Diceros bicornis minor: one gene and its partners. The protein of the gene in region 1 interacts with the protein of each later gene in a pairwise test. Links are inferred from orthologs where the notes say so. Each region holds a gene or a part of one and is shown on either strand. Other genes may lie near its edges.

The links.
Region 2: the proteins of GOPC (region 1) and RHOQ interact in a two-hybrid assay, tested with the Homo sapiens proteins (2 studies listed by BioGRID). The link is inferred for Diceros bicornis minor from reciprocal best matches to the Homo sapiens genes GOPC and RHOQ.
Region 3: the proteins of GOPC (region 1) and FOSL2 interact in a two-hybrid assay, tested with the Homo sapiens proteins (2 studies listed by BioGRID and IntAct). The two-hybrid records come from large-scale screens. The link is inferred for Diceros bicornis minor from reciprocal best matches to the Homo sapiens genes GOPC and FOSL2.
Region 4: the proteins of GOPC (region 1) and RNF183 interact in binary tests that used the Homo sapiens proteins (3 or more experiments, as listed by UniProt). The two-hybrid records come from large-scale screens. The link is inferred for Diceros bicornis minor from reciprocal best matches to the Homo sapiens genes GOPC and RNF183.

What each region holds. Positions count from the first base shown.
Region 1 is NC_080762.1:18,495,089-18,501,993, forward strand, and holds the start of GOPC (Golgi-associated PDZ and coiled-coil motif-containing protein), read left to right. Parts: upstream 1-3,891; 5' UTR 3,892-4,097; coding exon 4,098-4,385; intron 4,386-6,905.
Region 2 is NC_080751.1:38,720,987-38,728,636, reverse strand, and holds the start of RHOQ (rho-related GTP-binding protein RhoQ), read left to right. Parts: upstream 1-4,860; 5' UTR 4,861-4,884; coding exon 4,885-5,026; intron 5,027-5,605; coding exon 5,606-5,664; intron 5,665-7,650. Other genes in the region: basic salivary proline-rich protein 2-like, read right to left, coding at 4,153-4,860. UniProt on the Homo sapiens protein: Plasma membrane-associated small GTPase which cycles between an active GTP-bound and an inactive GDP-bound state. In active state binds to a variety of effector proteins to regulate cellular responses. Involved in epithelial cell polarization processes.
Region 3 is NC_080751.1:54,562,261-54,569,453, reverse strand, and holds the start of FOSL2 (fos-related antigen 2), read left to right. Parts: upstream 1-4,193; 5' UTR 4,194-4,587; coding exon 4,588-4,689; intron 4,690-6,685; exon of another isoform or gene 6,686-6,783; intron 6,784-7,193.
Region 4 is NC_080767.1:21,550,170-21,557,813, reverse strand, and holds the start of RNF183 (E3 ubiquitin-protein ligase RNF183), read left to right. Parts: upstream 1-4,644; 5' UTR 4,645-4,866; intron 4,867-7,644. UniProt on the Homo sapiens protein: Acts as an E3 ubiquitin ligase catalyzing the covalent attachment of ubiquitin moieties onto substrate proteins. Triggers apoptosis in response to prolonged ER stress by mediating the polyubiquitination and subsequent proteasomal degradation of BCL2L1.

The DNA of each region.
Region 1 (6,905 bases):
ACAAAACATAGTTATCTCATAAATTTTAACTATGGACTAGGTAAAATAATTCTCAAAGCCTAAATTATATTGGAGTTATTAGTGAAATCAACCAGATTATTGTTAAATGAACCTTTCTTTTTAAGTTGGGAAAAATATTCTTTGGAATTTAAAGGAATAAGTATTTTATAGATATTCCTAACCCCTGAGCCAATATAAAAATATGTTCAGCTATGCTCTCTAGCAGGTATCAAAGGCATACCTTGGAAAGTGACTGCTTTTAGAATCTCTTACATAGAGTGTTGTAACATCTTAATTATTGAACTGACCACACAAATATTTTCAGCATTCCTACTATAGCCCAGGTCTTGTGTTAGGACTTGGTATTCAAAGATAGCAAGATACAGTTATTGCTGCCAAGGAGCTCACAGTTTAAGGGGCTCCAAAAAACATATGATAAGTGCTATAGCAGGTATTTGCAGGAAACTAAACAGCAATGGAGTCCATAGCTCCACATGAGGAGAAAAAAGGAAGGCTTCCTGGAAGAGGTGTCTGAGCTAAACCTAAATCACTGCAACAAAATTCTCAAGTTTTAAGAACAAGAGAGCAAACAGTTGTTCCGTAAGGGTATATAAAAGGAATAATCAGGAGAATGAGGCTAATAAATCTCTTTGGAATGCCCAAACTTACTTCTTTAGCATGTCTATCACAAAATTTCAAATTGTTAGTAAATATCAATAAATATAAATAATACACATGCATATGATATTCCAAGACTTTTCCCACATTGCTCCAGTAAAATGGTAGTGGGTTTTCCTTGGCTTTCTTTATTCATCATACAACTGTTCATAGCGACCAACAGCAATTACTACCTTTTCCTTTTCCTGGTTGGATTACTGGAGAGTAAATGAAATGTGTGAAGCTTAGTACAGGACCTGGTACACAGTAGAGTACAATAAATGGCAGTATCGTTCTCCATTCCAAGGTAGATCTTCTATGGCCATTCACCTCGGTGTCTTTGCAATTAATGTTTGAACTCTACACTAACCTCACAGCTAAATACCAGTACCTACCAGAGAAATCTTTAGCATGTTCCCTTTTTCCCCAGTTTCCTCAGTCTCTCCCCTATTTATTCTTAGTAATACCTTGTGGTAAAACTCTAGGGATAAGTTCCTAAAACAGGACTGTCACATTTAAGTTATAGTAGAAATGTTTAATCATGTAAGCATGATTCATGAAACAGCAACATTGCACTTATGCCAATGCAATTGCAAATAGAAGTATCATGATTTTATTATCTCTAGAAAAATAAACTCCACAAGTATTGAGATTACATACAATTCCAAATTCCAGAGTAAGTCAAGATAAGGCAGTAAATGTAATAGAGCTTGCTGACAGCAGATGGCAGCACTTGAACATCAAACTCGGCTCTTCACTTCCGTGTTGGTCTGTGACTTGCAGAAATGCAAAACCCCAATCAAAGTGGGCAAATGAGAATGTCCACATAGAGGGCACCTCATGAGTATTTGAAATAGTCACATAGAACCAAGATAGCAAGCACATAGGGATGTGGCAGCTGGTACATGGTGTGATAACGAGAAGAGACAATATGAGATGAAAGTATTTAGAGGCACAGAGGGTGTGATTTGTTGGAGTTGTAAAGATCACAAACAGAAATGGAGGTGGGTTCTACAATCCTGGAAATGGAGATCTTCAAAAAGGATCAGAGCACTCAAAACATATAAATACTTAAAATGCATTTCAGTTGAACCCACACAATACAGCAAGAAGTGGAATGACATTTTTTTAAAGAAACGAAATTTATTTTCAAGTGTAGTATAAACTAAAGAGAGTGATAAGTAATAGTGAGTATTACAATTACTTTTTTTTAAGGAACATTTCTTATATATTAATAGATTTGCATACGGCTTATAATTAGGAAGAAATTACTTTTTTGAAAAAACTTTTGGCCTGATTTGCCAATTTATTATACTGGTAATTTATACAAGAAGAAATGGATTCCCTCCTCCTTATATAACCCATGGTTAACAGCTAAGACTTTGGAGAAAAAGACATCTAAATTGAAATCTCACCTCAGTCGATTTTTAGCTGTGTGACCTTACCAAGATACTTAAGCTCTCTGTGGCTCATCTATAAAAAAGTGATAATAGCTTCCTCACAGGATTTTGTGAGGGTCAAAGAACTGAAGCAAATAGCACAATGCTTAATACACAGTATGTACTCAACAACTGAAAGCTATTCCTATTATTGTGATTCCATGTATGTGCCCTCCCTCCAATTTTACATTATTTACTTCAAATTCCTGAAAACGCATTGCTAACTATATTATGTATAGAGAAAGTGGCTGGCAACTTGGTAGCTGTACTGATGTTCTTGCAAATACTGAAATATTGAAATATAAAGTTAATTTGAAAAGGAATGGGGAAAGATGCAAATTTTAGTTTTACATTATTTTTTTGTGTATTAAAACCTGTATGAAGGTGCCTATTTAAGCTCAAGGCCAGGATCTCACCCTTAGTTTTGCTTAGCTAAGTCTGCTTAAGTCAAAGGACTTTATTGACCCATGTTAACCAGTCGGCCCTGCAGTCTCCAGACAGCAAACCAAACCTATGATTTCTTATTCCTCACTGGCCTTGCGTTGGCGAGGGGCACAAAGTGCTGGCTTTGGTGGTGATTAACTGGAAGAGTCTGTCCTATGAACAGATCATAAAAGAGTCTGTAGTCGGCCAGGAAAATATTCCCCTAGGCAATGCAGGAGAGACAGTTTCTACCAGCCTTCTCTAATCAGACTGGTTTCTCCGTCCTTTTCCAAGACCGGGCTACTCTTGAGTAGAAGAGGGTTAAAAGTGAGTAGGTGGAATGGTAAAGAGCAGTTGCTAAACACTCCCAAGGGTACTGCAAAATTCAAATTAAGTTGTAGCTATGCAGGTTAGACTCACTAGCCTGTGAGCTCTGCTTGACTAAGGGTCATGTCTCATTTATTTTTGTGTCCCCAATGCCTCAACAGGGCTCTGCATTCAATATATTTATGAATATGTGAGTCTTCATAATTGTGTTTTTCTGAAATGTCACATGTGGGTACACTGTACCAGTTTTTGAAATAAGTACACCTTTTGAAGTAGTTGCTTTGGAAATGCATGACCTGCGGTGTAATAAGGAATAGCAAGTGCCAAGCACTGAAGCTAAGCATTTGACCTCATTACTGAGCGTAGCAAATTTTGGAAACTGAGGCTTCGAGATTAAAGACTACAATGAAGACGGCACAGCTAATATGTGGCAGGGTTTAATACTTGAACCCAAGCCTGCCTCTTAATTACAAGACAAAATGTATTGTATTAATTCAGCAAAACCTGGGCAGCCGCTGTCCTTCAACGTGCAGCTCTAGGCAGTTTCCACCCAGAATTTAGGGCCTGGTTTACCAAGAAGAGCCAGTTTGTCCATCCACCCCACCCACCTTACCCGCCTCACCCTGAACAGGAAGTGGAATGGAAAAGGTAAAACGTGGCCATTGCGCATGCTCAGACCGCCCTTCCTCACTTTCCCTTCCCTGCCCCTGGACGACACCGCAGAAACTTTCCCGGACGACTTATAACGTCCTCTGCCCACTGTGAAGTCAGACGGGCGGAAGTCGTTCCTCTCTGCGACGTGGATGCCCTTCTCTTCCTCGAGCCGTTTCAACTTGGAAGCCGATATCAAGCGCCTCTGTTTCTCGAGTATTCAAACTGCAGTTTGCCAGTAGTCAATATGGCCGCTGACGGGCGGGTCCCAAGCAGAGGCTTTTCATAGGCCAAGGTCGCATCCTAGCCCCGCCCATTTCGCCCCACCAGGCTGCGTCCGTCTGGGTCTTCGCTACGCATGCGCAGCGGGGGCGGGTCGTGAGGTGGGACGGCCCGCGTCTTCCGTGTGCCGCCGCCGCCGCCTCAGTGTGGCTGCTGCTGCCGCTCTGGGGCTGCCTTGCCAGCCTTAGCCGCGCGAGGGGAAGGGAGGGGACCCAGGGAACGTGCGTGCGCGGGGGTCCCCGCAGTCCCATCAGTTCCTCTCGCGCGGGGTGGGCGGGGGGGGGTCAGCAGCAGTTGGGGGAGGCCCTGGACAGCGCCATGTCGGCGGGCGGCCCGTGCCCGGCAGGAGCCGGAGGGGGCCCCGGGGGCGCCTCCTGCGCCGTGGGGGTCACCCCCGGCGGGGTATCCATGTTCCGATGGCTGGAGGTGCTGGAGAAGGAGTTCGACAAGGCCTTCGTGGATGTGGATCTGCTCCTGGGCGAGATCGATCCGGACCAGGCGGACATCACTTATGAGGGGCGACAGAAGATGACCAGCCTGAGCTCCTGCTTTGCGCAGCTTTGCCACAAAGCCCAGACTGTGTCCCAAATCAACCACAAGCTAGAGGTGAGCTGCGGGCGCTGGAGGGGGTGGCATTCAACCCCGGTCGTCAGATTCTATTTAACGCACCAGGGAAGCGACCCTAGAAAACTGCCCACTAGGGCACCTGGGCTTCAAATGTGACGGGGGAGTGTGTGTGTATATGTGTGAAGGAAAGGAGTGAGGTGAAGTTGGAATAGAAAAAGGGGTGTAGATCGACGTGTGGGTCTCCCCGTGTCATCCACCTTCCTAGTATCTCTATGAGGAGGAAACAGGAACTAATTACACCAGCCTACTTGTACATATTACATTAACAAACCTAAGATTAAGCTCAAAGCTTCTCTGTCATAAGAATACCTTAGCCCACTCTTTAACATTTGGGTTTTTAGATCTCACATTGATAAACGAGGTATTTATGTCACCAGACAGATACACTCCTGATTATTTTTAACCATTTCAGGTCAAGGTCTGTTGTTGCACACAGACATACTCTTACCAGCATGCATGAACTAGTTAGGGGAATTTGATCAATGCTGTTAGGAAGATTTAGTGGGATAAACACTAAATAGTATCAGTATCCTTCTTGGTTTACAGTTGGTCTTTAAATTACAGGCGTATACCTCCAGAGCTCCCTACAATTATTTAAATGACTTCTAACATTGAGGTTTTGTTTATGCTTTACTATATTTCCCAAAATCTGAATTTATTTTTTAGAGTATGTGAAGAATGGTCATTTGCTTAAGTCTCTAATCTTGGTTGTGGGTGTGGGTGGATGGTGATGGTTCCAAAAAAGCAAAAAAACTTACCATATTGTGCACCAAATTAAATTAGTACATTATTACAGTATTTAGAAATCATGATAGATTAACATTATTACATAAAGAGCATTTTCTAACTAGATAATTTAAATAAGAGAATGGGTCTTCATTTTAAATAGATATAAATAGGATAATCAGTGATGTACAAAGTCCTTTGAACGTTAGATTTACTAAGAAATCATCATTGCTATCAGTTGTAATGCTTGAAAGTGCCCATTGGATCCAAATCAATATGAGTATCAGATATGCATCGTCTCCTTGCTTGTGGTTAGCATTCTTTCTCTTTCCTGTCAGTTAGCCATGAAAAAGGTGGGATAATTCATCTTTGATTAGCATAGAATTGCGTATCAGAGATTTTGTGACTCTTCTCCCCTGAAAGGACTGTTCATTTCTTCCATCCTTTTTGAAAAGGTTGAAGTGGGAGTGCCAGTAGGAAGCTAAACACTTCTTATGAAAATGTCTCTTGATTTCTTGATTAGGGGTAATTTCTAAAAGATATTTATTTTTCTCAGTTAGTGAAATTGCATTTGTTGGTTTTTAGAAATAGTACTTTAGGTTTAAGTAACAGAGCAAGAGTGGCTTTTACCACATGAGAACTTCCGTATCATTTACAACTGCAAGTATCTACTGAGAATAAACAGCTTTTAAAAAGTGAAACAATATCTAATTCATTTCTTTAATGACTTAAGGAAACTTGAAAGAGTGATATTTTGATGTCAGATATAAAATCTAATTTTGGAGAAAGGATCATTCTGTGAGTAGGAGGTGGTGCTCAATTTTTTTCATCTTTAAATATTTTAGATAAATATTCAGAGCTATAATAAATTATGCATGTTCTTTTTTTTCAGAAATTATAGTTACATATTCTGGCTCCATGCCTGGCTTAGGAGGTGGTGTTATTTCTCAAAATAAGAAATGCTAACCTATCACAATGTGAGCATATTTTTTCAACATGCCTGAAACCCTTGATTTAAAGATCTTAGAAAATGGGGAGGGGAGAGACTAATGTGATTTTTTTGTTGTTGTTTGTGTATTTTTTCAGTTACAGTTGACTTATCAAGTCTGTGGGGTTAATCCTTCTACATGTAGCAATTTCCACAGTTTTCATGGAATCAGTTGTGTATTGCTAAAGAGTGAGGTTCATTGTCAGTAGTGCCTTTGAAAGTAGATCTGCTGCTGTATCATCTACAGAATTTCAGAGGTTGCTCCGTATACTGTTATCAGTCGTCTGAGATCTTGAAATCTTTGAAAAAATTTCCATACTTTTTGCCCTATTTTATTTTATTTCTTGAATTCTATTTTTTTAAGGATATGGAAATTAAAACATAATATTTGAGACCACTTATGGTTTGGTATAACAAATGTGCACCAAAGTTTAGTGGTTTTAGAGACTAATACCTTAAGCCATATTACCATAATAAAATATCTTTATAATCAAGACACAGATACCTCCAGTATGGGTAGCTTATATTTAAATTGGTCTTAAATATCCTTCCAGATTACTCCTTCTTCTCTCCAGTTATTGTGTCTTTAGGTAACACCACATTTAATATTAATATAGTAGTTAGGAAAACAATTTTGATGCAAAAAAGTCATAGGTTACATTTTAAAATTAAATATGAATGACATCTATGTGACTGCTTCTTGCTGTAAGTTATATTTGGGGAGAGGGCTATCTATAAGGGAATGGGGAGGGCAGAGAATATCAGAATATTTTGAGAGAGTGCCA
Region 2 (7,650 bases), on another chromosome or scaffold:
TATTTTAGAACCTTACTGTCCCTCTGGAGTTTTACTCTCAGCTTGATTTAGACAGTTGGTCACCTGGTTAGGAACTAACAGGAGCTAGGAAAGATTTAACAAGTGAGAAAAAAGCCCAAAGAAGAAGTAGGGAGGATAAAAACAGAGGAGATTAAGAAGGAAAAGAGAGGGAGAAGGTCTGTGAATCATAACGTAGAAGCCTCAGGGTCATCCTAGATCTTGCCCACGTTATTACCAAGCCCTGTGGATTCTGTCATCCAAATATCCCTAATACCCACGGCCTCCTCTTCATGTTCACCGCCATGCTTGCTTCAGACCTTCGTGACCTCTCTCCTCCTCACTCTCTCTGCCTCCACTGTCATCCCCTCCAAACTCATTTTCTACATCACTCCCAGAGTGATCTCAAATGACAGCCCTAAACTGGTCATTTTCCTACTGAAAAACTTTTGATGCCTCCTCTATGTGGAATGTGGAAAATAGCATGAGCTTTGAAGACAGATCACTCTGAAACCTGGCTCTGCCACTTACCTGCCCCAAATCCGGCAAACTTCTCAATCTCTCTGCATATCACCTATCTCAACTTTAGTGATAATACTGTAACAGTCAGGATTCCTTTGGTTACCAGTGACAGAAAACTAACCAATACTCACAAGGCAAAAAGAGAGAGGGGATCTATTAACTCAAGTGACCAACTGAGGAACAGCAGTACAACAGGGTCTCAGGGATAACCACAAGCAGGAACTCACAAATAGCCTGTGTCATCTCTGCCTTTTTTGGGGGGGTTTAATGTCTATATTTTTGCTTCACTCTGCATTTTAGCTTTATTTTCTTGGATTGGCTATTTCATGAATGTCTGAAACACAAAACATGAATGGCCGACAGCTTCCAGGCTCACCTTTTCCAGTTTAGTCAGTAAAAGAGGGGAGATTCCTGTTTTGAAACCCAAATTTAAACCTTTCAGGAAGGGGTCTGACTGTTCCATCTTGGATCAGGTGCCCACCCACGGCTAATCAACAGGGTTCAGGGGCTGGCTGTGTGTGAAGATGGCAGCTTCCATTTAAACCACATGACCACAGAGATTAAATTACAACATATAATAGAAGCAAATGGTGCTGTTCTGCATAGACAAATCAATAGACATTCTCTACAAATTTTATCTCAGATAGTTATTTTGGGGGTGAAATAAGACGACCTCCACAAAGGAGCATCAACTCCCCAGGACAGTGCCTGGGCACAGTACACAGCTACAGCACGCAGGAGATGCTCCACAAATTCTTACTTCCTCCCTTCATCACATCCTCACTCCCAGAGCCACTGTTTGCCTTTGTCTTAGTAGAAAAAAAGACCCCTCTCTGGGTGGCTGCAGCCCTACAGGCACAGGTTTGACAAACAGAAGTCACATCTGTGATAAGAAAAAAGTGCCCCTCCTTCCAATGAACACAGCCTTGAGCCAGAGTCATGACTTTGTGGGTAACATGTGAGCCAGATTTCTCCTTTCAGCTTTGTACAGTGCGCAGACTGCCCTGCCTGGGAGGGGTCCTACATGCCTCTTAACAAGGCTTTCAGAGGCCCATGGACTGGCTGCATTATACAGTTCCCAGTTAAATACAAACCAGTCCCCTTGCACCACTAATCCTGCACTCTGTCCACCCTAGATGGCTCACCATCCCCAAGAGGTTGTGTGCTGTTCCTTCTTGCCCTGGTGCAGGGCTGTCTTTCCCAGGTATTCTCATCTTATTCCTATTAGCCTCTTAAACCCCAGGCCAACAACACCCTTCTACAAATCCTTCCTCAGCACACCCAGAGCTAGGTATTGACAGCCTCATCTGCACTTCCAGAAGCCTGTTCTTTATCCTCTACCACAGCACTGATCATATTATATAGTAATTACCTGTTTGCTCATCAGTTCTTTTCAGCAACTGCCGCTTTCCAGCTCTTCGTGCCCTGCTCAGGAATAAAGCCTGGCATCGAGCAGACCTCAATACATGCTTCTTAAATGAAATACTGGATGAATCAATGAACAGCAAGAAGTAGAGCAAAAAGAGGAGAAGGCTAAGTAGAGATTTCACTCTTCTCACACGGACGTGTGAGTATTTTCACATTTGCGGTTGACACAAGGGGAAAAAACCAAGCACAGAGCCTATGGGACGCTTAGAAACAAAGTTGCTTCCTGTCCTTCAAATTTTTTTTTTTTTCCTCCATTTGAGGCATTATCTTCTTTGCTCGTAGGAAAGTGAGCGTGGGCTGCCCTGGGGCACCCAGGATAATTCCCCACTCCCCCTCCACATACACACTGGGGGAATCAGCCCCGAGTTCCAAGTATTCCTGGCAGTCAGTTTTGGCTTCTCTATGGGCCAAAGGGATGAGGTCACCGTCATCAATGAAGTCACCCTGCATGATTCATCCCACGTCAGTCCCCCACTTGGAGTGTTCTGATGTTCCCAGAGCATCCAGAACTTGGGATCCTCGCTATTTTTCAAGGTTCTGGAGCTGATCTTCCAGTTCCCTAGGTCCCTAGTAAATGTCTGCCCCTCTGGGAAGTAGTGTAAGCACTGGGAGTCCTGAATGGAGGAAGCCTCGCAGAAGCCTCCATCCTCCAGTCCTGGGACAGACCTCATCATCCTTCATGGAGGCCTTCCCTGTGTCTCCAGCAACTGCCTCTTCCCTTGTCCCAAAGCTTTTACCAGGATCTCTCAGGACACATTCCGAAGGGCCCTAGAATCCTCAAGGGTGAGACCTGATCTCACCCTTACGGATGAGCTCAATTTATGGATGAGAAAGCTGAGGCTCAAAGAAGAGAAGTGGCACGCTCACAGTAACACTGCTAAGTGGTGTCTGAGCTGGGACCAAATGCTGGCTGAGTGCATTCCAGGAGCTCCTTAACCTCTTCTGATAGACCTTCCTTTCAGAATACTAGTCCCAGCAAATGCTGCCTGAAGAAATGGTCCAGTAGACAAAGGGGGCAAGTCTTCCCTTCTTCCTCTCTATGAGGAAGCAGCAGACTGGCCTCAATCCAAGATCTGATTTCAATCTGTCATTCAGTACGTACAAAGTGTCTTCCGGATTCATTGCATAATCTAAAGCAGCTGGCAATGCAAATACCTACACTCAGATGCAAATGGAGGGGTCTGGTGAGATGCTCACTGTGACTCCACAAGGAACTTCCAGTAATCCAGGAAGTCTTCCTGAGACAATGGAAATCAGATTTGGGGTTTGAGATTTGAAGCCTGGGAAGTGAGGCATGGGGACACAACAGTGAGCACCTCCAAAGTGTGCTTCAAGTCCTTGAAGGCTGGATAACCACTTCATCCCCCTATGTCTCAGTTTGCTTACCTACAACCTGAGGGAGATCTAAGGGAGATGTTCCAGTTGACCTCTGTGCTGCCTCTCAACACAGCATTTTCCAATCCTGTGAATCGATGACGGGAAGCATTTATCTCATGTCAGCAAAGGGGAAGGGGGGCGGGTTGTGCTGTCAGCGTGGAGTGCACCCACTGTCCCCTGCCCCTCTGCCCCAGTGCCTAATGTTCAGAGCAGCGCTACTGGCCAGTGAACGGGACCTGGCCAGACGGCTGTTTCCAAGCTTTGCCCAGGCAGGGTGGCAGGGGTTGCCACCTGATCGCAGGCCAAGTCTTGGAGCTAGAATGTATCACTCCTCAGGGATCACAACCTTCGAGGGACACTCGGGACCGTAAGGGGGCCTCAGACCTCAGAGAATGTCGCCTCCAGGGGGAGCACAGGTACACTTGCCGCACCAGAGCCAGCAGGGTCTCCGTTTTCTGACCGGTTCGGGGGTGTTGCAGTGGTTCAAGATGTAACTCCCCCAGTCACCAGTTCATAGTAAATGATTCAAGCTCGTGCTGTAAACGTCATGAGATGGTCGTGGTGGAAGGCGGACCAAGCAATAAACCAGTCCCTACTTTCCAGCTCAGGAACCACCCCCGCCCCTCGCCCATCACCCCGCGCGCCATGAAAAACATTTTTCTTTTAACTGTCTTGGCCTTTCTTCCCGATTTCTAGTTCTGTTGTGCACTTAGAGGCCGATAGGATGGATCCTGTCTTCCGGATGGAGTTTAAATATATATGTATAATTTTGCATGACTATTGCGTCATCGTTGGAGTTGTGATTCCCCAAGAGGCCTCCTCGTCTTCTCACGGCATCGGGGCCTTTGGACGCTTCCGGGCGCTGCGGGCACTTGCGCGAGGAGCCCTCGGCTCATCCCTAGTGCTTCTCTCCCGGCCCCCTCCCCCAGCCTCATCTTCCTCCTCCTCCCTCCTCCTTGGCTCCTCCTCTTCGCCCCGTCCCCTACCCTCGCGGGGAGTCAAGCTAGCGTGAGCGGGCAGGGCCGAGTGGTGGCCGCGGGCGGGGCGCGGGGCGCGGGGCGCAGAGCCGGCGGGCGGGCGCGCGGGGGCGCGGGGAGGGCGGCCGGCGCACGGGGGAGGCGCCTGGGCCCGCCCTCCTCCTGAGCCGAGCCGGGAGGGGGCCCGGGCGGGCGCGGGGCGGGGAGAGCCGTCTGGCCCCTCCCCTCCGCTGCCCTCCCCAAAGTTGCCGTCTCCCCCGGGGCCGGACAGTCTTATGATCCAGAGGATCCTCCTGGGGAGGCCGGGCCGGGGAGAGGGCGCGGGCTCGGAGCGGCGGGGGCAGCGGGCGGGCGCGGCGACCCGGGCCTGGGCGGGGATCGGGGCAGCGACCGAAGCAGCGGCAGCGCCCCGGGCCCGCCGCCCCCTCCCCTCGGGCGGGGGGAACCGCTGCATGGGGCCGGGGGGGCGGCCCTGCTGCGCGGAGCGGCGGCGGCGGCGGACCCCCCAGGCGGGCTGGGGCTGAGCCCGGGGCCGGGGCGGGGGCTCCGGGGGGACCATGCCCGGAGGCCGGCCGGCCGCAGCATGGCTCACGGGCCCGGCGCGCTGATGCTCAAGTGCGTGGTGGTCGGCGACGGGGCGGTGGGCAAGACGTGCCTACTCATGAGCTATGCCAACGACGCCTTCCCGGAGGAGTACGTGCCCACCGTCTTCGACCACTACGCAGGTAAGCCTCGGAACTGCTGACTAAGGGGCCGCTCCCCGGGCCGGCAACTTTGGAGCAACTTTGGCGGAGCCCCCTCGCTGCTTCCCCCGAGCGCGCTCCCCACCCGCCCCCCGCCGCGCCCTCCGCCGGGCGCCGGGTCCCACCCCCAGGGTTTGCCTCTGGCGGTCCCCTTCGCCTGCAGATCCGAACCCCCTTCCTACCCGCCTTCCCCACCCCCGCGCCCAGTCCCGGCTCCCTGCACTTTCCAATCCCCTCGGCGCCCTGGGCCGACCTCCTTGACCTTCCCACAGCCACCTCCCTTACTGCCCCAAGTCCCCCGGGGAAACATTTGGGGAGACCGGGCGAAACGTGGCTACGGGACTCGGGAGAGGGGAGTGGGGAGCTGGGGGCCGCATCGCACCCCGACCTCACGCCACTTCACAGTGAACCCGGCACAAGGGAAATGGAGTGACATCTCCTGGGGAGCGCCCGCCTGCTTCCAGCTGGGTTGGGAGAGGAGGGTCCTGGTGGGGAGCGAGATTGCCCCAGAGCTTGGATAATTGTGAGCTTCTCTCCCCGCCCCCACTTCTGCCCTTGCAGTCAGCGTCACCGTAGGGGGCAAGCAGTACCTCCTGGGACTCTATGACACGGCCGGACAGGTGAGTGTCTTGGCCCCTGGCCGACACCCCCTTTCCTTTCCCCAACTCAGGGAGGCTGCGAAGGGCCTTTGGAAACTGAGGTGTCTAGGAGGGAGGGTGTGTCTGCGAGAGGCCCCTCTGTGTCAAGTCTTTATTTCTTTTTTCAAGTCAGCAAATTAGGAAAAGGATAAAAAAAACCCAACCCAGCGCAGCCCACCCTATGTGAACCCCTGAGCTGTGAAAGTTTTTGCCTGTGTGCACCTTCTGTATGGTGCCTGGTGTGCGGGTCCCAACTCCTGTTGCAAAGTGGCAGCGGCCAATCGTGAAGCGCCCTTATTTTTAGTTGCAGATGACCAGGTCTCCCCTCACAGCCTCTGTCTGGTCCCTCATTGGTGAGTGGTCTGCCTGCCCGAGGAGCCTGATTGGTGGGAAATGGCATCATCTAATATGATGGGAAGGCATTTGGTCCTGGTTATGTTTATTACAACATCATTGCACTCTGGGACTCGAGTCCCTGAAAACGTAATTTGTGGTGTTACCAGAGGACCACAGGGAAAAAAGAAAAGAAACAACAACCATCCAGCCACTCCCAGGGGCGGGGTGGGAGAGGAAGGGTTAGGAGTTCAGAGTGATCTTGGAGGAAGAGCTTTTTTTGCCCCAAGGAAAGCCAAGTGACTTTGTCTGGGTTTTCTTTGGGAGAGATTATTGTGCAGAAAGAAAATGCACATTCCTCCTGGCAGCCAGCCTCTGACCAAATTATCTGCAAATTAGAAGTGGCTCCTAAAGAATTAAGGTCTCTTCTCTGTCTCTGTCCCAGCTCCACCCTCTTCCAGACCTACTTTTGCTGTGGGGTTAAGATGATTGTGTGTGATGAAGTTTTGCAGAATCCAGCCCTGTGATTAGACCTAAAGACTTGGACAGAAGTTTCCACATGTCATGCAGACTTGAGTCCTTGAGGACCTGTGAGAAGCTGAGGGGCTTAGTATCTTTGGGGCATATCCAGTAGTACAGTTTCCTTACCTGTACAATGGGGTTTAAACAATTCAGACCATTCCCCTGTGCATATATTATATGCCAGATGTTTCCCTCTGAGTCAGGCGCTCACTAGGTAGCTGTTCAATAAAGGGAAGCTGTTCTTTGTAGCTCTTCTAGATTTGGATTTCAGAATTGTGGTATCAGGGTAGATTCTGAAAAATGTCTTGTTGGGGAGTGCCTTGATGTGCCCTCCGGCTTCTAAACTGTTAAGTTAGAGGAGTATCTGAGGATAGAGAAACTGTTGGCCGTGCAAGATCCCTGAGGCTGCCCGCTTTCCCCAGACTGACCCAAGTCAGTCCGACCAGTTCCTGGACCAGTTCCTGGCTTTCTGGGGCCCTTTTAGTGGCCTGCCTTGTAGTTGTTACTCCTACCTTTTTTGGAACGAAGGGAGGGCAAGAGGCAGAACTCACTCAATCCAATGAGGCCAACTTTGAGGCAGTACAGTTGATAAACATACAGGTTGAAATTATTGGTTGAAAGGAGAGAGATTTTTAAAAATTGTCTCTAATTTTCACTTCTCTCACTACCGCCCTTCTCTTCTCTCTTTTGCATGTCACTGTGACCATTTTTTGACCACAACCTGTTTTCAACAGGACATGTGTATGTCAGAGCTGTTCTGTGCACATTCAAACTCACCTAGTATTTACTGAGTTCATTCTACATATCAGGCGTGGGGCAGCCACATGCAAATATTATTTTCTCCACAGAACAACCCTGTGCCATAAGTGATATTCCGTCTTTGCTGATGAAGAAACTGCGGCTCAGAGAAGCTAGGTTGCTGACCTAAGGTCACACAGCTACTGAGCAGTGTTGCTGGGACTGGGACATGGGTCTGAGTTTGCCGCCAGTTGAGGTGCTTATATCCACAGGAAGCAGTGGGAGGTCCTGAGATGCCACCCGGAGTTGATTGGATTGCTTGTGTGTCTATAGACATGGTACCTGGAATCTTCACAGGCATTCTCTGAGTGGGGG
Region 3 (7,193 bases), on another chromosome or scaffold:
GAGAAATGGAGTTTGCTTCTGACCTGTCAAGCTGGGAGCATGGGTCATGTGCAGAGCGCTGGGGTAAAGTCAGGTGAGAGAAGTTTGAGTTCAGGCTGTGACAACCACAGGCTCGGGAGTCTTGAGGAGGCTGCCTTGCCTTTCTGTTCCTCAGCCTTCTCTTCGGCAATCCAGAGTCACCTCTACTGCTGTCACATCCCTGGCAGGGATGTTGTGTGAGGACAAGTGCATGTATGTGAAAGGGCTTCATGAACTGTCCAGCTCTCAGACGGGGTGGGGGGGTGGGGGTGGGGGGGGTGGGGGGGCCAGTGCAGCCCAGAGTGGGCGGTCGTTCTGGGATTTAAGTCAGGGCCCAAACATTGGACTGGAGGGACACAGGAGGAAATTGGCAAATGCAGGGCAGGGAGGTCCCAGAGACCCAGAGAGACAATGAGAAGACAGCCCAAGATACCCTTTTCTTCCCACTCCAGCTCACCTCCTCCTCTTCCCTCACTTGACTTGACCTTTCTTTAGCTGAGTAGTTCAGCAGAGAATTAAGGAGCACCTCTAAATATAGGACAAAGCCATGCACCAGATAAAGTCCATGCTTTCTGGAGACCAATAAGAGAGAAACAAAGACATTTCCAGTAGGAGGCCAGTCATGCAGTGTCCCGGGTAAGAGGAACAGCCTGGTGTCATACAGGCCCAGCTGCACTTCCAACTGGGTCACTAACCCACTAATCAGTTCTCCTGGACAAGTTCCTTAATCTCACTTTCTTCATCTGCAACCAGGGAATAATACTCACCTCAAACATTTGTTGGGAGGATTGCATGAGACAATCCCTGCAAAGGATTCAGCGTGGTGCCTGACTCTCGGTAAGCGCTCAATAAAAGTTGGCTCTATTCTTAGATGTTAGTCTGGGGAGCCAGAGGATCCTTTCTAACTGGGTGATACTGGAATGATTCCCCACGGAGGCGGCAGTGAACCGGGCTTGGAGGCTGAACTCTCGGTCTGGCAGCCACAGTTCGGCCAAGGCACCAGTTGGACCAGCCGCTCAGTCCCCGAAGCACCAGGGCGCAGCTCTGTGTGTCTGGCGCTTCGTGGACTGAAAGGTGAGGACAGACTGCGAAAAGGCAGGCATCCAGCCGGACAGAGGGAGCCAGCACAAATTCTGGAGCAGGGGAAGGCCAGGATCAAAGCGCTCCAAGGCAGGCCGGGGCGCACCAAGGGGAGGCTATCGACTTGCATCAGCACGGATTCCGTGATGCTCTGCAGACGTCTCGGGGCTGCCGGGCTTTACGGGAACCCACAAGAAAGGAAAGGGCCGGGGAGCAGGCTGGGCGGGGGCTGACGAGAGAGAGAGGGTGCGCTCGCCCTCCCGCGCGCTCCCGGCGCCGCCCGCCCGGGTCTGGGCGCGCCCGGGACGGCGGAGGCCGCGGAGGAAGCTCCGGCTCCCTTTCCCCCTCCTCCTTTCCCCCCCGCATTACTGGAAGGACTGTGTGGGAGAGACCCAGAAGCACCCAGATTTTCGAGGCGGGGTGGGGGAGGGTCAGGCAGCCGCTGCTGCTCAAAGGAAAACCAAAAGCGCGTCTGTTCGCGCCGCTTCGACAAGCGGCTGCTCCCAGGAGGGCCCTGGACGCCCCGGCCATGCCAACCTTTGCATCCCCCCCCACCACCCGCGAGACCTGGCTAAGTCGGCGGGGGCCTGGGTGGCGCAGGAGGAGACGGAGAGGCGAGTGAGAAAGTGTCACGATTTCTTCTCCTGCGCTCCCCCCCCCCACACAGTCCCCACCCCCAGTTTTCTGGGTTTTGCCGCTGCCGCTGGGGAAAGGGCTGATCGGTTTTGCGTCAAAGGACTGCATTTACTCAGTCCTGCTGGGAGAGGCGCGTAAACACGCAGGCAGTCAGGACGCAGGGATGAAAAAAAAAAGAACCCAAGCACCGCGGCGGGTGTGCGCATCCGCCCGCCCCGCACCCCTCTCCTGGGTCTGCAGAGTTGGAGACTGCCCGGAGGGCGGCGGCGGAGGTTCGAGCAGTCTGGCCAGCCTCGCCTCGCCGCGTGCGTCCTTGGGGATGGAGCTCAGGACAGAAAGTGTTTTATAGCTGTAAACAATGACCCCGAGTATTGTTTGGGATTACCGTATTTTAGGGCCATTGGGGCGGCCAGATGCCGCCAGCCGTCCCGGAAACGCCAGCGCTTTATATAGAGCCCAGGGAAAGCTTTGAGTTCCCGGCTCTATTTTTCTTGCCTAGCAACACCCCCACTTTACAGATAAGGAAACTGAGGACTGGAACTGTGATGTGTTACAGCGCATAGCTCTTCACAGTCTTCACTCATCTTGCCGTTGTGTCCTCACAAGGACCTTGTGGGGGTGCAGATGACCCTACTTTAGAGTTGGGTAAACCGAGGCTAAGGCAGAGCCTGGACCAGAACCCAAGCTTTGACTCCTGGTACAGTGTTCCTCCGGATCATCTCTGCAGAAAGATTGAAGTTCCAGAACTGATAAGGGCCTTAGAGCGTCATCTGTCCGAACCCCTTCATTTTATAGGAAGAAACTGAGGCCCAGAGAGGTTAAGGGACTCGCCCAAAGTCTCACAGCTCGAATAGCACAACCTGGCGTTCGTACTCCAAGGCCTGTGCTCTTTACCCCGCACCTCGCCCCGCCCCGCCCAGCGAGGCGGGAAGACCCAGGAGCCCGGACTACCTGCTCCCTGAACTTCGCTCCAAAACAGCTGAAAACAACATTGGGGCACACCCTCTCCCTGGCCTCACCCCCCGCCCTTTCTAAAATACATAACAGTCTGGAGTTTGCCTATGATGTCCGATTACTCTTATTAGATGCGACCTAAACGCCCGGCATAGAGGGCGGCCGGAATGTCTTGACTGGTTAATTTCGTCTTCAAGTCTACTCCTAACAAATTAATTGTAGGGCCAAAAAAACAGGGGGGGAAGTGTGGGCAGCCAGCCACCGAAGGGAAAACAGGCAGGCCCGCCTCGCCCAGCGGCGTCGCGCCCCGCCAGGACCCGGCCGCAGGGCGGCGCGGGAACTCTCCGCGCCCGGGGCGGCCGCTGCACCGGCCGGCGCCGCGCAGGGCGCCGACGACCGCGCGCGGCCGCGCCCTCCCTGCGAGCGGCTCTGCGCGCCCGGCTCCCGGCCTGGCGGTGGCGCCGCACTGAACCGCCTGTCTCGTTCTTCAAGACTGTGATTATTTTCTAAAACCCGGCGCCGAGGCCCGCGCGGCCGCTCTCGGGGGCCCCGCCCCGCGCCCCTTCCCAGGGCGGTGCAGGGGGGTTGGGGAGGCCGCGGCGCGCTCGGGAGCGGGCGAGGGAATCCCTCTCCCTCCACGTCACCCGAAAGCAAGGGAACCCGCACTCGCATCCTCTAACGCAAATGACCATCTTTGGCAACGTGCGCCAATGGAACAGACCAAGGGCGCTGGGCCCGGGGGGTGGGCGGGGGTGTGGAAGGGCCAGGGCTGCCTTGGCTCCCCCAAACCGCGCCAGCGGTCGGCTCCCACCCCCGCCACCGCCTTCCTTCCTCGCGCGGAGTGTGCGGCTGGCGTCAGCGCGGCCAGGAGCCGGGGCAGGGAGAGGAGCTCTATGCCCGCCTCCTCCCGCGCCTCTTTCTCCTCCTCCTCCTCCCCCCGCCTCCCCGCGCGCTCCTCCCTGCAAGGTGGAGTCTTGGGGTTGACGTGAGTGAATCCACATGGTGGGGGCTGGAGAATAAAGAGTGTGGAGTTGAACTCGTGCCATTGTAGTGACTCATCTCGGGCTGAGCGCAGGGGCTCCGAGCGAACCAGCGAGCAAGCGAGCGGCGCTCGGCGGGGACAGAGAGAGGGGGAGAGAGGCGCGGACGGGCGAGACTGGCCCGTCCGGGAGCGGGCGCCGGGGAAGGGGTGCAGGTCCGGGCGCCGGAGCCACGGCACGGGGAGCGGGGCCGCGTCCCTCTCAGCGCCGGCTCAGCTTGAACCCCACGGGCCGCGGGACGGGCGCAGGCTGCCCTCTTCTCTTAGACAAGTGTCCGAGCCGCTCCGAAACTCCGGCGGCGAGTCGGCCACAGGAAGTTTATTCTCAGCTCCCTTTCTAAAAGGAGGAAATAGAAGTTTCTCCAAGCGGGCAGCCTTTCTTTTCGCCTTTTTTGTCCTGACTGAAATCGAGGGCCCCCAGATCTGGCAGGGAAAATTGCCAGGGTCCTATTCTTTTTTTAATTTCCAGGGTCCTATTCTTTTTTTAATTTCCAGCTTTTGCTTGGGCCGGAGGTCCCGGCTGGGCTCCGGCTGCGCGCGGGGGCGGGAGGGCGCGCGCAGGGGAGGGACTGAGGGACGCGCCGACTTTTTAGAGGGAGGGACTGGGTGGACAACTGGTCCCGCGGTGCTCGTAGAGCAGGAAAGAAGTGCAGTGCGAGGCACTCGGGCGGCACTGTTCCCGGGGTGTCGTCGCCTCCCGGTCCGTCCGCGGTCGCCGCCGAGGGGAAAGAGCCCGGGAGCGAAGACTAGAGCCCGAGGCGCGGCCGGCAGGGAGCGAGCGCGCAGCAGCCGGTGCGCGGCCGCGGCGAGGGCGGGGGAAGAAAAACACCCTGTTTCCTCTCGGGCCCCCACCGCGGATCATGTACCAGGATTATCCCGGGAACTTTGACACCTCTTCCCGTGGCAGCAGCGGTTCTCCTGCGCACGCCGAGTCCTACTCCAGCGGCGGCGGCGGCCAGCAGGTAGGTTCGGGGCCCGAATGCACCTGGCGGCGCTGGCGGACCCCCGCCCTCCTCTCGCCGCCACTGCCTCTTTTGCTTTCTTTTCCCTTTCTTGATTTGGCGAGAAAATTCCTACGTGCCACTGTTGTAAAGTCTGGATTTTCGTCTTGTCCTGCCTACCCCTCTTACCCCCACGCCACCACTTTTTTTTTTTTTTTTTAAACTGGAGCGGGGAGTGGGCTCGAAGAGCCAACAAACCCTTTCCTTCACACTACATCTCATCCAGACAAGCTCCAGGAATTACAGGCCACCTTCCCAGGAGCCTGTTACCTTCTCTCCCAGGAATCCCGCCCCCCTTCCCCTCTCTCTCCCTGGTAGGCAAAAAAATCTTTGCATCCACTGGCTCTTCCCGACATCCAGGGACCCTATTCCTGTGGGAAAGCTCTCTCCTTCTCTTCCCCCATTCTCCGTCAGTCTTAGTTAATTTCTGAAAGAGGCTGAGGACTCGGAAACATGGTTGGGCTCCTTCAAGTAATCCGGAGTGAGGGCGAGGGTTGCCGCTCTGGGAATCAGGTGCGAAGGTCAGGAAGGAGGAGGTCAGCCTTGATTGGCTCGGGCGGCGCCTGTGTGCCCTGCGCCCGTACATCTCCTGTGAGGGTCGGACCAGGAGCCTGCACTAACACCAGAAGGGGCGCCTTCAGTGTACAGGGTACCTGAAGCAAGGACGCCTGCAGAGAGAAGTGGGAGAAAGGGACCTCCTGGGCGGTTCTGGAAGCAGAAAAACAACTTGTTTCTAAAGCAGCCGAACTGGTTTGCACTGGAGGGGTTGTGCATGCGATCTGTGTGTCTATAAATTCCAGAAAAGTGCTGGTGGGGTGGTGGTGCTGGTGGGGTGGTGGTGCTGGTGGGGTGTCTGCCCTCTGCAGCAGGTCCCCCCCAGGTCTGTGAGGGAGCTGGCTTAACACACAGGGCCACTACAATCTGAAGCCCTCCTCAGTCAGGATCTGCTGAGTGTCCAGCCAAGTTGGCTGCAGCACGAATTGCTCTGGTAAGGCCGTGGCCTTGGCCTCTAGAAACCAGCCAGCCAGGAAGGGCTGGGGTGGGCTTCCAGGGAGGTGTGGACTCTGCTGGAGCATAAAATGGAAACACAGCTCTCTTTGGGATTTGAAGAGGGATACCTTGTTCCAAAGTAATTCCCCATACCTGGTGAGTCCCCTAAATGGCTTCTCTGTGTCTTTCCTCTACTTCCTCTGGTGTCCCCGTAAGCACGCACTCTAGAGAGCCTCGTGTGTGCATTGAGGGTGCAGTCAGTGCACCCCGTAATGAGCACCAACGGGATGAGTTTCAAATCTTGTCCCTAAAAGTGTTTGGTTTTGTTTGCTTTCCAGCCCCATTGGTGGTTTGTATTGAATCCAAATACCATTAGGCAAAGGGTTGGAGTCATTTATACCCATTCCCTCACTCTCCAATTCAACAACCCCCAAATGTCCCTCCCTTCCTCCCGGAATCAGGAAGGGATCGTTTGATTTCTTGTCTGTTCCTTTCATTGCCGTTTCTGTGGCAGTCATCATTGAAATATTACAGTCTTGCGGCCTGGCTTTGCTCAGACCCGGGGGCCTGGATGGGAAGTCAGACCGGACATCAGTGCCCCGATTGAATAATCTGTGTCACTAGGGCTTTGAGCCCAGGATGTGAGCGGAGGCAATTCCCTGTTTTGGAAGAAAATCAGACAGGAAACCAGTGCTAGGAAGAAGGACGAGAACTCGAGTCCAGCAGAGTGTAATGGGGCCTCTTTACCGAAGCAGAAAGCAGCTGTTGGCTCATTCCTAGCCTGCTGTAACACATGAGGATTTTGCGATTAGTAATAACCAGTGCACGGGGCTCTCGCATATATGCCTGCCCGTTCAGCCAGGCAGCTTCCAAACCGGAGGGATTGGCAAAGTCACACCACTTTAGACAAGTTTCTCAGCCTGTCCACTCCTGGCGGAGGGGGTGGTTTTTTCCATCATCTCTCCAACTTTGAGCAAAGCTGGTCTGCGGTCCTAAGCACCGACTTGAGAGGCTTTTGTTACTTCACAAGTCTTTGCTGTGACCCCACCCGATCCTGGGCTCAAGGTAACTTTATTACATATGAGATAAAACCCGTAATCACTTTATTTCTCTCAGCTTCCTTCACGGGGCGACTTTCTGGGCAGTTAGCGATGGGCCTTCCTCCTTTGTGGCGTCTCAATGGACCAATCAGTGGAAGAGAATTCACTGGTTTTTCCTTGGGCAAGTGGATATGATTTTTTCCTGATCTCTTTGTTTATAGGGTCCAATATTCCTGATAAGTTTGTTGCTATTTACTCAACCCAGTACTTTCCTCCCCTCTCTCGCTTCATAAAGCTTGATCCTCACACATGGCCATGAGTTCCAGTGACTTGGGGTGAGGAGGAGCAGATAATTCTTTGTGAAAACCTCTGTTCTTGTGTACGGCAGGAACTTGAAGCATGAGAAATATTTCCTGTTCCAGTTATAGTTTTAAT
Region 4 (7,644 bases), on another chromosome or scaffold:
TGAGGGCAAAGTTTTTTCATTAAATTTGGTGCCAAAATTGACCTGACCTTACGGTGTTTATTCTTTTTGGTGTCAATATTTATAATAATTGCAGAATATTAATGCATTTGATTAGAGGGTACTGCCCTAGATCCCACTGGGAGAGTTACTTAATATATGGTAAATATATCATATGATCTTCTTTACTATGAGAAATTCTGAATTCTGAAACATCTCTGGCCTAAGGGATTGTGACCTTGTAAAACCAATTCAGGTGCTGCATAAAGCAGATGCAGTGTGATGCCCATTCCCAGGTTGGGACTGACCCAGCCCTGTCTAGGATTTCTACTTCAAGGTGTCAAGTCCTGGGGAAATCTTTATGAATCTGGAGACGAATGTAATCAGGATAAGTCAAGGAGCATATGTAGGGGATATTTCTCCTAAATCAGTACTCCTCATGATTTACTGTGTTTCTGAATCTCCTAGGGATCTTGTGAAAATGCAAATTCTAACTCAGCAGGTCTGGAGTGAGCCTGAGGTTCTGCATTTCTAACAATTTCCAGGAAATGCCTACGCTGCTGGGACTGTCCTAAACTCCAGACAGGCCTAAGGCAAGGTTCTGAGGATGACAACGTCATGCCCCACAGGGAGATTGCCCTCTGCCCTCGGCGAGGTGGGGGGGCTTGTTAAACACTGATCACCAGCTGACCCAAATCTGCCTCATGGCTGCCTTTCTCCATCCTCCACTGCTCATCCCCGCCTTCTGCTGCCTCTTCGTCCCCCGATGGGTCCGTACTGCCCTGCACCGCCCCTCCAGACCTTGGCTGGGCTCCCCTGTCTCATGACTCTTCACTCATCCGGTTCCAAGTACAGCTTAGACGAGGTGCTTTTCCGGCTGGCCGACCTCACCCCCCAGGCATGAACTAAATTTGTTCAACTCAAATTCCTGAGACGCTTAATTATCTCTCCTGGCTATCTCCCTGGAAAAATTTTCCAGTCATTGCAAAGGACTCCCTAGCCTGGACCACTCAGAGACATTGTAATAATGCATTTGCTCACTAGACAATTGGTGACCCGGAGAAGGGCCATGGTTTATTCTATTCAATGCCTGCAGTGCCCTGACCGATTTCTTATGTGTCCTCTCTGCTTTTCTTTTTAAGTTTGGTTTCCCTGGTTGCAGAAAACTCAGCCTGACTTACTTTCCAACTGAATTTTCCTATCGTATTACAAAAGTAATACATATTTATTAATGAAAATTTAGAAAATATAGATTAGAAGAAAATGACAATACCAGTAAGCCCATCACCCAGAGATAACCACTGTAACATTTTTGCCTCACAGCATTTCAGTCTTTATATAAAAATTTTGTTTTACAAAATCTGGCTCATACTACATACAGTGTTTTGTAAACTGCTCTCCCCGCCATTTACAGTGTATTGTGACCATTTCCACAAGTCAGTACAAATTCTTCTACATCATTTTACACGATTATGTAGTTTTCCATTTAATTGATGTGCTTTAGTTGGGCTTTTATGTTGTTTTCAGTCATTTGTGGTTAAAATAAAACTGCGATGAACATCCTCACTCAATCGAAAGATACAGGCATATTCCGATTCTAACACCAATTCTGATGTGTGTGTGTTTAACAACACCAAGCAATTCTCCGACAACAGCTGGGTGTCCTACAATTCAACTCAATTCTGCCACCAACTACATGGAGATAGCATCAGATCCCACAGGTCAAGGGCTCCCACAAGATTGGCCCCTGCTTCAGATGCCAATCGCAAGTCCAGGTTGTTACCTGTGCTTCTGAGCAACCAGCTATAGATGGGTTAGACCCCCTCTTTGGGTTAGATTAATTTGCTAGAGTGGCTTACAAAACTCAGAGAAAATATTTACTTACGTTGACCAGTTTATTATAAAGGCCACAGATAAACAGGGAGACGGAAGAGATGCATAGAGCAAGGGATGGGGAAAGGGCGCTCATGCCCTCTCCAGGTGCGCCACTCTCCCCAAGTTCAATCTCGACAAGTTCACCAACCTGGAAGCTCTCTGAACCCTGTCCTGTTGGGTCTCTACAGAGCCTCAGATACATAGGCATGATCGATTTACTTATTGACCATTGGTGATTGAACTCAGTCTCCAGCCCCTCTCCCCTCCCAGGAGGTGGGTGGGGTAAACCTGGCTGACAGTTCCAACTCTCTAATCCCTTGGTTGGTTCCCCTGGCAACCAGCCCCCAACGTTAGGTTACCTAGCAGCTTTCCAAAATTTGCCTCATTAACAAAACAAAAGACAGCTTTATCGCTCTCATCTCAGGAAATTCCAAGGGTTTTAGGAGCTGTGTGCCAGGAACAGGACAATGACCAAATATTATTTATTATAAACCACAATATCACATATATCTTTTGGATACCTCCAGGAAATTATTTTATTAGGTCAAAGTGTATGAACTTCCTCATGCTTTGCAAGAATGTTGCCAAACCAGAAAGCATGGCTTCCAAACTCTCAAATACAAACAGATCCCTTGGGCTGAAGCGGTGTCTTCTTGAATCCCCACTAACTTTAGTTAACCAGCCATGATGTTGGAAAGGGGGAATTCCAGAGCTGAGGGCGATCTCCAGGCCACCAAGGCATGCTTCAAGACATCTCTCTGTCTCTGGCTCAGAAAGAGCAGGAAAATTGCTTAGAGATCTTTTTTAGGGATCTAAAACTTCCCGAAACTCACAACTTTATTTTCACACAATTCTAGGCTAATGTAAATCCTGTAATCAGTTCAGCATTTATTTTTCCATCCAATATTTACATATTTAAAATGAAGGGATTAGACTAATAGGAGAATAGTTAAGTAATTCATGGTACAGCCATTCAATTAATTATGGTACAATCACTTAAAAACTGACAAAGCTCTTTATGGACTAATACAGAACGAGAACTCAGATACAGCATTATGTGAAAAAAGCAGGGTGCAGAACGGTGTAGACAATACGCACATTTGCATAAAAAGGAGGCAAAGGAATACACAGATGTTTCACCATAGGTGTTTTGTTTGTGTACCCATAAAACATCTTTGGAAAGATACACAAGAAATGAAGAGTATAATACCTTAATGTTCAGAGACACTAGGCGGCTGGGAGAAGAGCATTTTCATTGCAATATCAAACCTTTCTCCTGCTGAACAACGTGAAAGTATTACCGATTCTAAAATAAAATAAAATTTTAAAAACACAAAATGAAGGGACTAGAGTATTTGAGTATATCACCAGTCAAATACATTTATGTATTGTTGTTTATTTTCCAAACCCCTTTAAAAGGTCAGTAAAGGAACAAAAGGAGAGGACCATATGTACAGAGAGCATGAGAAGGAACAGAAGATGGGCCACGTGAACACGCTTCTGGCAGGTGGTAAGTAAGGCACTGGCACAGATTTCAGAGCCAGACCTGTAGTCCCAGTTCTTTAACTTGTATTTTTTTTTTTTTTTGTGGGGAAGATCAGCCCTGAGCTAACATCCATGCTGATCCCCCTCTTTTTTTGCTGAGGAAGACTGGCCCTGGGCTAACATCCGTGCCCACCTTCCTCCACTTTATATGGGACGCCGCCACAGCATGGCTTGACAAGCAGTGCGTCGGTGCGCGCCTGGGATCCGAACCGGCGAACCCCGGGCCGCCAGCAGCGGAGCACGCGCACTTAACCGCTACGCCACGGGGCCGGCCCCCTTTAACTTGTTTCTCACGAGCTCTTGGGCAAATCGACCCCTTACTCACTTTGAGCTTCTGATTCCTTATCTGTGGAAGAGTAAGGATAAGTTGAGGATTTTCTGTATCCCATATTGTGCTGGACCCTGTGCCTCCTGGGACTGCTGGGAGCATTCACTGTCACAGATCAGAAGCTTTAGTAAAGCACAAAGAAAACTGCTATTATTCCTTTAAATAATAGCAGCATTTTTAGCTACTGTTATTTTAATATTTGTCAGTCTGATAGGAAAAAAATGAGTATCTCATTTAAATTTGAATTTCTATAATTACAAATGAGGTTGAACAATTACATAGATACTCCATTTGCATTTCTTTGTGATTTGCCTGATCGTATATCATAATAATCGTTCTGGTTAACATTTACTGCGTGTTCCCGTGTACCAGGCACTGTGTTATTATGATCTCTACATGGATTATCTCATTTAATCTGCAGATCAAGTAGGTAAAATTATTATGCCCAGTTTCGGGTGAGGAAACTGAGGCTTCGAGTTAACTAATTCACTCAAGTCTCCATGGCTAGTAAGTAGAGTCTGGATTCTGAGCAAGCACTTGACTCTGACCCAGAAGTCCCACTTGATTGAGAACACAGGCGCTTCATGCTTATGCTTAAATGACTCTTCCCTGATTATTTGCCTTTTTCTTAATATTCTGCAAGAGCCCTTTGTATTTCGGTTGTCGGGGCTCGGAATAGGGAAGGATCTGTCTGGGCCGAGGGCAGAGTGGCTTAGAGGCAGCCTACCTTCCCGTCAAAGGAAGGCTGTGCATGAGTGAAGAGGTAAGGCAGCACGCAGAGGGCGAGTGCACTCAGAGACCACGGCAGGAGACCAACCCAACCCAGGACAGAGGCCTGCGAGGGTAAGTGGACTCTGACCCCCTCCGAGAAGGAGCCAGAGTGACTCACAGGAGGAAGATGAAACCACAGCTTCCAGGCTATCTCCCGTCTAACACGCAGACAGTTCAAGTCATGAGAAGGAAGAAGAGGAAAACCTGAAACAGAGAGAGCTGGCCAGGAGCTGCCGAAGACCCATGCAAATAAGACCCGCCCACAACTGCCTGGAAACCAAGCCACAAGCGAGCACAGGGCACACGCTGCAGGGCGCGGGGAGAAGGTGGAGGAGGCTCTGAGCGAGCAGGTAAGGAGCCAGAGAGAGTCACGGAGGGCTGGGTCGCGGGGCCCCAGGGCCCAGTGGGTGAACGCTGGCCTGGAAGGCTGGGCTCCTGGGATCTTCTTTCAAGCTCAGCCACTCTTTAGCTGTGAAGCCTTGGGCAAGTCACTTCACCATTCTGAACCTTGGCTTCTGCATCTGTAAAATGGGTATAAAAGTATCACGCTAACTGTGTATGGAGCGCCTGCTGTGCTTTTACACGTTACGTTACCCCTTCTTCACAGCAACCTTGTAAGGTGGGATTATTAGCCCATTTTACAGAGAAAAACGAAGCTCAGAGAGGGTAGGCCATTGGTCTAAGACCTCACAGCAAATAAGTCTGGTTCCAAAGCCTGCGCACTTTCAACTCCCTAGCCTGCCTCCTTCACAGCTGCGGTTTTAAAGAATCAATTGGCCTCTGGCAAATGGAAAAAATTATAAAAGGCAATTATATCATCTAGATGTGAGTCACTGCACTCCAATCCTAGCAAGGACTGGGGCCCTTTGTAAACTGTGACGTGCTATAAAAATGCGAGTTCTTCATCTCTCTCTTCTTGAGGTTGAAAACATTGGGGTGAGGCTACAGACAATTAATATTTGGCTGACTGACTCGGTCACAGACTGAGATGATGCTTTCGGGCAATGTTCAGCACTTCGTGTAGCTGAGATGTCCCTGCTTGAGGGTGAATGGGGGGTGGATACAGGCCAGAGTCTCTCCTGGAGAGGCTGGTGTCTGACCAGCTGATCCGGAAACAACCAAAGATGCTGAGGGACCACGGCAGATAAGGGCCGGGTGCTTGATGCAACAATGATCATCCCTCTTGATAGCCCTTTACCATGGCCATGGATCTTCAGAAAATGTAGCTCTGCTTTGGGGAGAGCGGGGAAATCTTTAAGGGTAGTAATACAAGCTTACTGTGGTAAAGTGAGAATTTTCAGATAAGAGAATTGAAAAACAAAACAAAACCCCTATAATCTTACCCCCAGAGATGACCACTGTTGACATTTTGATATCTGTCTTTCCAGACATTTTTCCACTGCACAGATATATTGGAAAATTGGGTTATATTGTAATATGGTTTATTACTGGTTCTTTTCACTTAATGACATATCATGAACATATTTCCATATTAATAGATGTTTGATCACATCATTTTATTTTATTTTATTTATTTTTTTGTGTGAGGAAGATTAGCCCTGAGCTAACAGCTGTTGCCAATTTTCCTCTTTTTGCTGAGGAAGACTGGCCCTGGGCTAACATCTGTGCCCATCTTCCTCTACTTTATATGTGGGAAGCTGCCACAGCATGGCTTGATAAGCAGTGCGTAGATCCACACCCGAGATCCGAACCTGCGAACCCCGGGCCGTCGAAGCAGAGTGCGTGAACTTAACACTACGCCGCTGGGCTGGCCCATATCACATCACTTTAAAGGCTGCAGAATGTCTTTTCATATGAATGAAGCACAATTTATTTAATCAATGTCCTACTATTGGATAATTGAGTAGTTTTCAATACTTCACCATTAGAACCCTACTTTGATGGGTATGTCTGTAATCAGATCTTTGCACGGGTCCTTGATTCTTTCCAGGGGATAGGTTCCCAGTGAGGGAAATGCTGGATCAAGGCTATGCACATTTCAAGGCTTTTGATAAGTACTAAAGGTCTGCTTCTGACACTCTGCAAGTCAGGGGCTCCTCCAAGCTCAATGCAGAAAACTGTCGTAGCCTCAGACCCTGCCTCTCTCTCAAATCCATTTGCAGGGATAACGCCAACTACCACACAGATAGTCTTCACTGGGTGCCAGGCTCTATCTAAGAGCTTTGCCCTCCAATGTATTACTTTTAGCTCCCTTTTCAGAAGAAGAAATGGAGGCACAGAGAGGTTAAGCAATTCACCTGGAATCACAGCTCTAATGAGCAGTGGATCTGGGGTCACGAGCCTCAACAACCTGGTTCCGGAATCTATGCTGTCCACTGCTTCTTGGGAAGATTCTTTTACCCCACCCTTTGGATCTTCTCCACCACCGCCTGACCTACATTAAGCACCACCATCCCAGCCTGGACCCCTGCTGGAGCCCCCAACTGGTCTTCCGTTTCCACTCTGCCCTTTCAGTCTGTTCTCTGCTCTGCAGCTGGAATGGTGTTTTTAAGATGGAAACAGAATCAGGTCACCCCCCCTACACACACACACACACAGACACACACACACACACACACACACACACACACACGCACTCTCAACCCTGGAATAAAATCCAGACGCATCCATTCCCCAGCTTCTAGGGCCCGCCTCCTCCCTTTCTCCTTCATTCTGAGCCACTCTTCCACCCCAGGTCCACCCACTGCACCTCACCCCGTGACCTCCTTTCACGTCCTGAATTTGGCGGAGCTTTGTCTTACCTCAGGGCTTTGGTACATACTGTCCCTTTGGCCTGGAATGTTCTTCCCTTCAGGCAGCATGGCTTCCTGCCATCCTTCAGTGTCAGCTTTCATTTCACTTCTTTGGAGAAACCTTCCCTGGTGGTCTCATCTGCAACCCCCAAGCCCATTTTCCTTTCTGTCCTTTACAGCATTCATTAAAATTATGTATTTATTTATGGCCCATTACTCCTGAAATGTCTCTTTCCCTCATGAGACTCTAAATGTCATGAGGTCAAAGACCATGTCTATTTTGTCCACCATTATTTACCCAACGCCTAGCACAGCGCCTGGCGAGCGCTCAATGACTCAACAAATGTTTGCAGATGGATGAATGGTCCACAGAAG